Linked DNA regions of Coturnix japonica. The protein of the gene in region 1 interacts with the protein of each later gene in a biochemical or structural test. Links are inferred from orthologs where the notes say so. Each region holds a gene or a part of one and is shown in the gene's direction. Other genes may lie near its edges.

Region 1 (4,064 bases):
TCCTCTGCTCTGCTCTGGACAGGCTCAGCAACATCATCTATGCCTCATATGTCTTGACCTTTAGATTGCTCATTGTTTCCATAGTCTTCCTTTGGATACTCTATATTAGTTTCATTTATTTACTTTGTTACTTGTTAGCTTTCTTATCACTGAAGAGGAGAAAGAATGTACCTGAAGATGGGCAGTGTTAAGCAGCTGCTGTTCCTTTTCACAGCTGGAATTCTGTGTCACCCACCTTGCACTGCCTCATGAAAATTTTACATTCATGAGATATTTAGAAAACTGTACACACAGTCATACACCAACACCCCTTATCATACCTGATCAGTTATCACACTTCACTTGCACAAAAGGAAGAAAGCTGTAATTTTGCCAGTAACACACTATAACTCTGACATCTCCTAACAGACGAGTACTTGCACTTACAAGTTTCTTGGAATTTTTGTGAAATGGAGGAGGATCTGTAAAGAAGAAGAGAGAAAATAGCCAACCATCACTTATGGTATCAATGTCAAGGATCATGAGTAAGGTGGACTGCAGAACTGTACCATAGAAGTCACCAGCACTGCTTGGTGACAGAGAAATGGTGACGTATTATGAGATCTTCAGAGTCATCCACAGGTTACAAAGCTGGGAAGTGTAGATGCAAACAGTGATCTTTGAAATCAAGAAGACCCCTGCCAGTTCCAGCTCTTGTGGACCTGGACCATTTTGACTTTGAAAGCAAACTATTGCAGCAGTCCCTGATCCTTTTCCTCAGCTTTGAAGACTGTCTCTCCTGCTGTCTCTGTCCCTTCCTCCTTCCCTGGAAACTTAAACCAACTCTATCTGCAAGATCAGTGCTTGTTTCCTTTCCAGTCTCACCTTCTGAATCATAGCTACTCCTGTATCTTTGGGTCCTCCCGCAGTTTCCATTCCTTCACTAATACTGCCCAGCTTGGTTTTTATCTCTTGCTTCTCCAGGTCTGTTTGCTCTCCACCCTTCCCCAGTCCTTGCCTTCCAGTGAGAAAAGCATTAAATCCCTGTGAGAGTATCTCCCATAGAGCTGGGTAGCATTTCCTCCATCAGGGAGCAGCAGCTTTCCACATAGATGTATCCTGTCACATTGAACTGACAGCAGCTTCCTAGGGGTACCAAAAGGCATTGTCTGACCATCACCTCCTTCCTATCATGTTTTCTCTGTCATGACATAGACATAGCAGAACTTCTGGATAAAATTATTACACTTCACAAATGAGAAGGAGGCAGCAGAGAGAATGCCTCCTGAAAAATCTAATTCACAAGTACTGCTGACCAACTTTCACTGGTACTTGCAAAATGCAATAAGCCATAAGAACAGCAACAACATCTAACAGCTGTGCTAAAAGGTAAAGTTCAGCAAGGCTTTGAGCAACTTCATATGTAGAAGTTACCTTTAAAATGTAACTGTGATTAGGTGTCTGCTAAACTATTGCATAGCTTAGAAACGTAAAACACAAATCAGATGTTAGCTCTGTCATATAATGCACCAGAAGAGTGACAGTAACAGTACAGATGAATCATTTCCCATTTCCCACCCTGCCCTCATGGTGCTCATCAGCCTTAAGCTGTTGGCTAGCTGCACTACAGACAGACCAGTAACCACAACATGAGCCCATGACCATACTTCAAACCTCTAGTTTCACTTCTTAACAACTGTTTTTAGAATAAGTCGTCTTTTAATGCCAGTCTTCCAGCTTTTTCTAGAATTGGTCTGAAAGACGAGAGACTTTGTATCTATTTGTCCATGGAGTTCCCATTTTTTCATGGAAAGATATCACGTAAAGCATGTGAAGAACTGCTGTGCAAGAAAGGAAAGAATGGTAGCTATTTAATACGAGAGAGCGAAAGCATGGCTGGAGCCTTGTGTCTGTGTGTTTTGTAAGTATTTTAATATTAAATTTCTAATGAGATTTCAAATAGATAAAAAACTAAGACTTCTCCTTTTCTAACGTTAATAGTTCTTCCCTAATGTTAACAGTATGTCTGTAGATGTATTCAAGCGATGTTGGTTGCCTTAGGTTTTCTTTATAGTGAGTGGTGAGTGGGTGACATTTGTAAAAACAATTCATACAACAGAGAATGGATGAACTGTTCTCTGCTGATGCTGTTGTCTCTCTGCAGACAATAGAGAGATCCCAGAGAAAATACCTCAGCCTGCCAAAACACGGTGAGGAGAATCTCACTCAGAGTTGCTACCTGTGTTATAACAATGAGTAAATACCATTTTAGCACTGCTGAGACACTGAAAAGTCCCACAGTTGGACATAAAAATTTTCTTTTTCATATGCATGCTGATTATCTGATGAAACATTAGCCTTGTGTTTCCCACAAAGTTTATCTGATGTGAGAAGATAAGCTGAGATAGAACCTGTCACGTCCTACTCAAATTCATGACAAGCCCGTGAACAAGATGGGGATAGAAAACTGCTTAGCTTAAAACAATTAAAACTGGATTATTTTCTTCTGCTGTTGGGAACAGCACTTTTTTCCTGTTCATAAAGTCTGTTTTACATTTTTTTTCATAAGTAACCAATCTGTTCTTAATGTGTTCAGTTTATGAACTAGTAACTAGTCCTTTTTGTGTGAACCCATTGAATTTTACACATTCCTTGAGGGTGTGTTTGAGAGTGACATGAAAAAAATAAATGTAGCATAACATTTAATGAGCTCAGGAATATCAGGAAATATGTTTTATCAATAATCAAAATCTCACTGCTTTTAAAACAAATCAAAGGAGAAGGGAGAAAAAGGGAGGAGGAAATGGAATACTGTTGGGTTGGTGAGTAGAAGAAAGGATCATCTGGGAATGACAGAGGAGAAATGGCAGATGAGTTACAAACAGAGACCTTGAAGAGGGAGCTGGAGGAGCCTGCCTGCAATGAGTGTGGAAGGAGACAATGTACAAAGCAAAGAGATCAGGGAGGGAAATGGCATGCATAGTCTGTCTGAATCAACAAATGGGGATCCTGGCACGGAGGAAGCAATACTAGGCTTTGATGTGGGAGTACAGCTGTTGTGATCTTATTCAGTAGAGGCAGATGAAAAAAGCAAAGAGGTGCTTATGTCTTCTGTGCGTTAAATGAGTTTGAACTACTGCAGTAATAGACAGCATATCTACAGAGTACATCATATAGCCAAAGGATGTATGTGACTTTAGTTTGTGCATTAATACATACAATTGTTGAAATACAGAGTAGCAGCAACAGCATGATAGATACTGGCTTGCAGAGGTGAAAGTACAGGTTGCTTTCAGATAGCAAATGGGATGATGTGGTTCAGAAGCTGGCTCAGAAGCTGAGAGACTGGCTGTCAGTGATAGACTAGAGAAAGAAAAGCTGCTTAAGGGGAATGCATCAGTCCTAAAATTGGAGACATCAACACAGAAATTCTCGGTGCTGTTTCAAGACAGCTTCCGGTCTAGAACTGCATCTTAAGCATTGCTTAGCATGTAACATGGTTGATAAGAAAAACTGATGCCCACCTTGCTAAAAAATAAATAAAATAGTTCTCATTTGATCCGTGGACAGAGACAGCAATTCACAGGCTACAGAAAACAACCACAATTTGTAGTTGACCCACTGACTGAAGGGGAGGATCTAAGGGTCAGAATGTTGGGACTGGTCCAAAAGCATCTCAGCATTAACCATGCACAGTGCACACCTCTTTCTCCGTGGCATTCCTTCCAAACTCATCCACAGCTGTCCCAGGTCTTGATAGCGCCTCAATCCAGATCTATTGCCCTTGCTTCTGTTCTTGTGATTCAATATGTCAACCTATCAAAATAAATTCACCTCATGCTAGTTTTCTGCCTCTAGATCTCCCTTGTCCTCAAACAAGTTAGTTTGTTAGTTTGAATCATAATATGCAGTTATTTATAGGCATTTAATATTTGATTTGGAATTAAAAGTTTTCACTGTAATGGCAGTTTCATGTTTGCTTTATGTTACAATGACGGAAGCAGCTTTCAGTGAGCTTCTAGGCTCTATTTTGTGCTTTAGTGTCTATGAACAAGTAACATTGACATCCAGGCCTTTCTGGATGT
Region 2 (3,972 bases), on another chromosome or scaffold:
TCATCCCCACTGCCTTCAATGGGGACAAGAACCTTCCATAGTTGTCCCCAGCCACTTCCCAAAGCCATCCTTAAGCATCACCTCCTGGGGTACCTTGGTGGCTCATTTAAGAACCGGGAACAAGCAGGAGTCATTCCAGCTCATGTTTAATGGGAGGCCCAGGGTAATTCCTTGTGTGTGACAGCCTGATGCTTTCAGCACCGACGTGAGTTACTGCAGAAATCCCCCTCTGTGATATTTCCCATTGCTTCACATGCTTTTCCAGCCCAGAGGCATCAGTTTGCAATGCCTGGTGCTCAGCCAGATGCTCTCTGTGCAAGGACAGCACTGCAGGACGTGGGTTGGTCCGATGTGGATTTGGGCATAGCTTTGCTTTTAGTATCAGAAATAATTTATTGGTGACAAAAGTCACAGTGCTCTCGGAGCCCGGCTCCGCTGGAAAATGGTGGGAGGCATAAATGCAGCTTTTATTTCATCCTGACACCTAAATGTGGTCTGTTTTAAAACAAACGGAGGAATTTGTGCTTCACGCTGCTGCCTCCGCTCTCTTCTGCAAAACAAGAGAGGAAAAGTAACAAAAACTTGAAAGGAGTAATAGGAAAAAAAACCCCTTCTCCCATTGTAAAGCGCTGTGCAGGCTGAGCAATGGCAGAGATGAATAATTCATTCCACTAAAAACACCAAAACAACCAAGATCTGCTCACTCCTTTCCAGCAATGGAACGTACAGGCTGAGTTTTTCCAGCCTCAGTGTGGACTGAGTTCCATCCATGTTCCATCCGTGTTCCATCCATGTTCCATCCATGTTCCATCCGTGTTCCATCCATGTTCCATCTGTGTCTCATCTGTGCCCCATGCATGTCCCATCCGTGTCTCATGCATGTCCCATCCCTACTCCATCCACATCCCATCCCTGCTCCATCCTTGTTCCATCTATGTCCTATCCTTGCTCCATCCATGTTCATCCATGTCTCATCTGTTTCCCATTTGTGTTCCATCCATTTCCTGTCCTTCCTCCATCCATGTCCCATGTATGTCTCACCCACATCCCATCCCCGCTCTGTTCATGTCCCATGACACCCACAGCAGTGAGGACTGCCCTCTATCCCCAGACACCAGCAAAGCACAACCCCTGGGGTCGGGCTTAAGCATTGCAGGAGCAAACTGGAGCCCCATGATACTCAGGCTGGGGTTCTCCTCAGTGGGCTTTAAGGACCACCTGTGCTCTTGCTTGCAGCAAAGCCATGGAGCTGAGGCTTCAGACTGGGGCCACCTTGAATCCCACGCACCTGGAGTGGGTTAATCCCCAAATATTCACTGTTTTTCCTGCTGCAAGTCAATGCTGTAGTGTGGGATGTGCTCGTGCCACATCCTCCGACCCAGTTGACACTGGGCAGCCCCGGGAACCCGTTACCAAACATAAAGAGAGTTTGGTGCTGGCTATTTCCTCTTCTCATAGAGAGCGGGTTAAGGGCCTGTGGCAGATGATATACGTCTGAAGAAAACTATAAATCATTGCTTTGGGCCCTTCTGCAACTCTCCGCGGCGCTCTTCAGCGATGCGTTCAGAAGCGTTTTGAATACTTTCCACTCGAGAAAGAATCATTCAGCCTAAAAAACAGGAAACACATGGCCCACAGCAGCGCCTCTGATTTGAGTACACCTGTTCTCATAATGAGCACGGCAGCAGATATTAACTCCACATCGACAGCAGCTCCGTGAACCGAGGCATGGGCTGCAGGGCATCACTTTGGCTGCTCATCTCTAGTTGCTGGGTTTGGGGTATGTATCTCTTTCCTATCTGCAAACTATGTGGTTCGGATGGCTGGGGGATCGGCGGGTATTAGAAATGGTGAGTTGTGGGCTGGGTGGGCAGGCGGATAAATGTAAATATTCATCTGGAAGACAAACGACACCCGACTCCAAGTTGGATGTGCGGCGCATCCCTAATGCGCTCTGTAGTCAGAGCGAGGGAGGAGAGAATAAAAGGTGATGAATGAACAAAGGCAGTGATGGTCAGAGCGTATCTGTGGTGGTGAAATACTCTGCCTTGGGTTTTCATGGGGGATCACCAGTGCTGTGGGCTGGGGAGCAGGAGGTGTAAGTCCTAGCAGATGGTCTCTAGAGGTCTCAGCTCTGGGTGCTGGTGGGGGTGAGGTGATACTTGACCAACAGAATGTCTATAGGAGCATCAGTGCATGAGGAAGTGGGCTCAGCCCTGACCTTCTTTGCAGTGCCATCCTTGGGGTCAACATTCATCCCCATGTGCTGCTGCACCATCACCGGGCAAGCAAAGAGGGGTCTGCCTGGCAATACAGCAGCACAGGGCTGCCTCCACTCTGCTGGCTCACTGTTACTAGAATACCTGCCCTCAAAATCCCCCTGGGTTTTTCTGCCTGGACAGTGCTCTGAAAGTCCCATGAATGTAATTCCTGACATAGGGGCTGCTCTGGACCCTGCACTGTGCCTATGTTCCCACAGCTCATCCACATGGGTACTCACGGCCTCATACAACCCCAGTCCCACATCCCAGCAACCTTCCTATGGGGAGCATCTCCTCTTCTTGGGAGCTGCAGCTTGCCAGGCCAAGGGCTTTGCTACCGTGTTTCAAAAAGGGCTTTTCCATTCAGTAATTAATCAGGAGCTTAACCGCTGTGCTCCGTGCCACTGAGAAAATGCAGCCTCCAAGCTCCATGCTGGGCTTTGCTGAGTTCCTTTGCAATAGCAGCCGCTCTGCATGGCTGGGTCGGCACCCCAGAGATGTAATTCACAGGGACAGCTCTGAAGCTGCTGTGTTTCATGCCATGGAGGGGGAAAAAATAAGCAATGGCAAGGACTCGGGATGGGGGTGGGAAGCAGTTGCTGTCAGCTCGGTTGTGGTTTTTAGTGGAAGTACATGTGCTGCAGCAAAGGCAGATATCGACATTATCTGGGTTGAGTCCTACTCTGTATGCTTCCCTTCTGGGATGAGTCCTTGCCCCATTGGAAAGAAGTATGCAGGAGACATGAGGGTGACGTGGCATATTCCATTCCACGCTCTATTGATGAGCAGTGCTGAGCTGGTGTCACCCCCATCCTGTTTCCTACATAAACAAGCCCACGGCTCACGGGGGCTGTAGGCAACTATGAATCATGGCCACAACCAGAGGTAACTCATGAACAAGCCAGGGGTGACCAAAGTGCTTTGGTGTGTATTAGGAACCATCGCCACTCGTGGTCCTCAGACATCCCTGGGGCATGCAGGGGTTGCTGGAGTGTGGGGCCGCTGTCACTGGGGCAGGATGTGGTGCCCTACACAGGGCTCAGGCTGAAAACACCATGAAGTACAGCAGTGGAGAGATGAGAAGATTATTGCATAGGCAGTTGATGTGAGATTACCAGGGCAAGCCCAGCACCATCCCCTGCTTATGCAGCTCTGTGACCAAAGGGTCGCATCTCCTCCAAGCCCCCCAGGCTCTCCCCACACATCTCTGCTCTCCTTCCAGGCATAGGCTGTGGGACAATGGAGACAGTGCTTGGCACCCTGGGGAAGGCAACAATCCTGGGGGTCCCCCCTAAATTCCAGGAGCTCACCCAACGTTTTGGGACAGCCACGTGGAAGCGGAGTGTGGAAAACCCACTAAACAAGGAATATTTATTCACATACTACAATGGGAACTACACCAACTACAAGCCAGGACAGATTCGCTTCCATCCATCCAACTTCTCACTGGAGATCCTCAGCACCCAACGGCAGGACCAGCAACTCTATGAGTACTCCATCACCATGGAAGCCGGGGAGACTAACTGGCATATCCAATTGGCAGTGTATGGTGAGATACATTGCATTGATGGGATGGTGGGAATGTTGGGCTGAGATGTGGCAGTGAGCCCAATACCCTTCCAGAACCCTATGGTAAAGGCAGACCTCAACCCCATTTCCAGAGTCTCCAGCAGGACTGGAGCAGCACCTCCCCATCTCCAGCTGATGGCAG

Evidence for each region. The genes of interacting proteins can lie anywhere in the genome.
Region 2: the proteins of SH2D1B (region 1) and signaling lymphocytic activation molecule-like interact in a test that uses a peptide from one of them, tested with the Homo sapiens proteins (2 studies listed by BioGRID). The link is inferred for Coturnix japonica from reciprocal best matches to the Homo sapiens genes SH2D1B and SLAMF1.

The regions. Positions count from the first base shown.
Region 1 is NC_029516.1:78,530,413-78,534,476, reverse strand, and holds the start of SH2D1B (SH2 domain-containing protein 1B), read left to right. Parts: upstream 1-1,262; 5' UTR 1,263-1,766; coding exon 1,767-1,900; intron 1,901-4,064. UniProt on the Homo sapiens protein: Cytoplasmic adapter regulating receptors of the signaling lymphocytic activation molecule (SLAM) family such as CD84, SLAMF1, LY9 and CD244. In SLAM signaling seems to cooperate with SH2D1A/SAP.
Region 2 is NC_029540.1:802,603-806,574, forward strand, and holds the start of signaling lymphocytic activation molecule-like, read left to right. Parts: upstream 1-1,169; 5' UTR 1,170-1,728; coding exon 1,729-1,780; intron 1,781-3,483; coding exon 3,484-3,810; intron 3,811-3,972.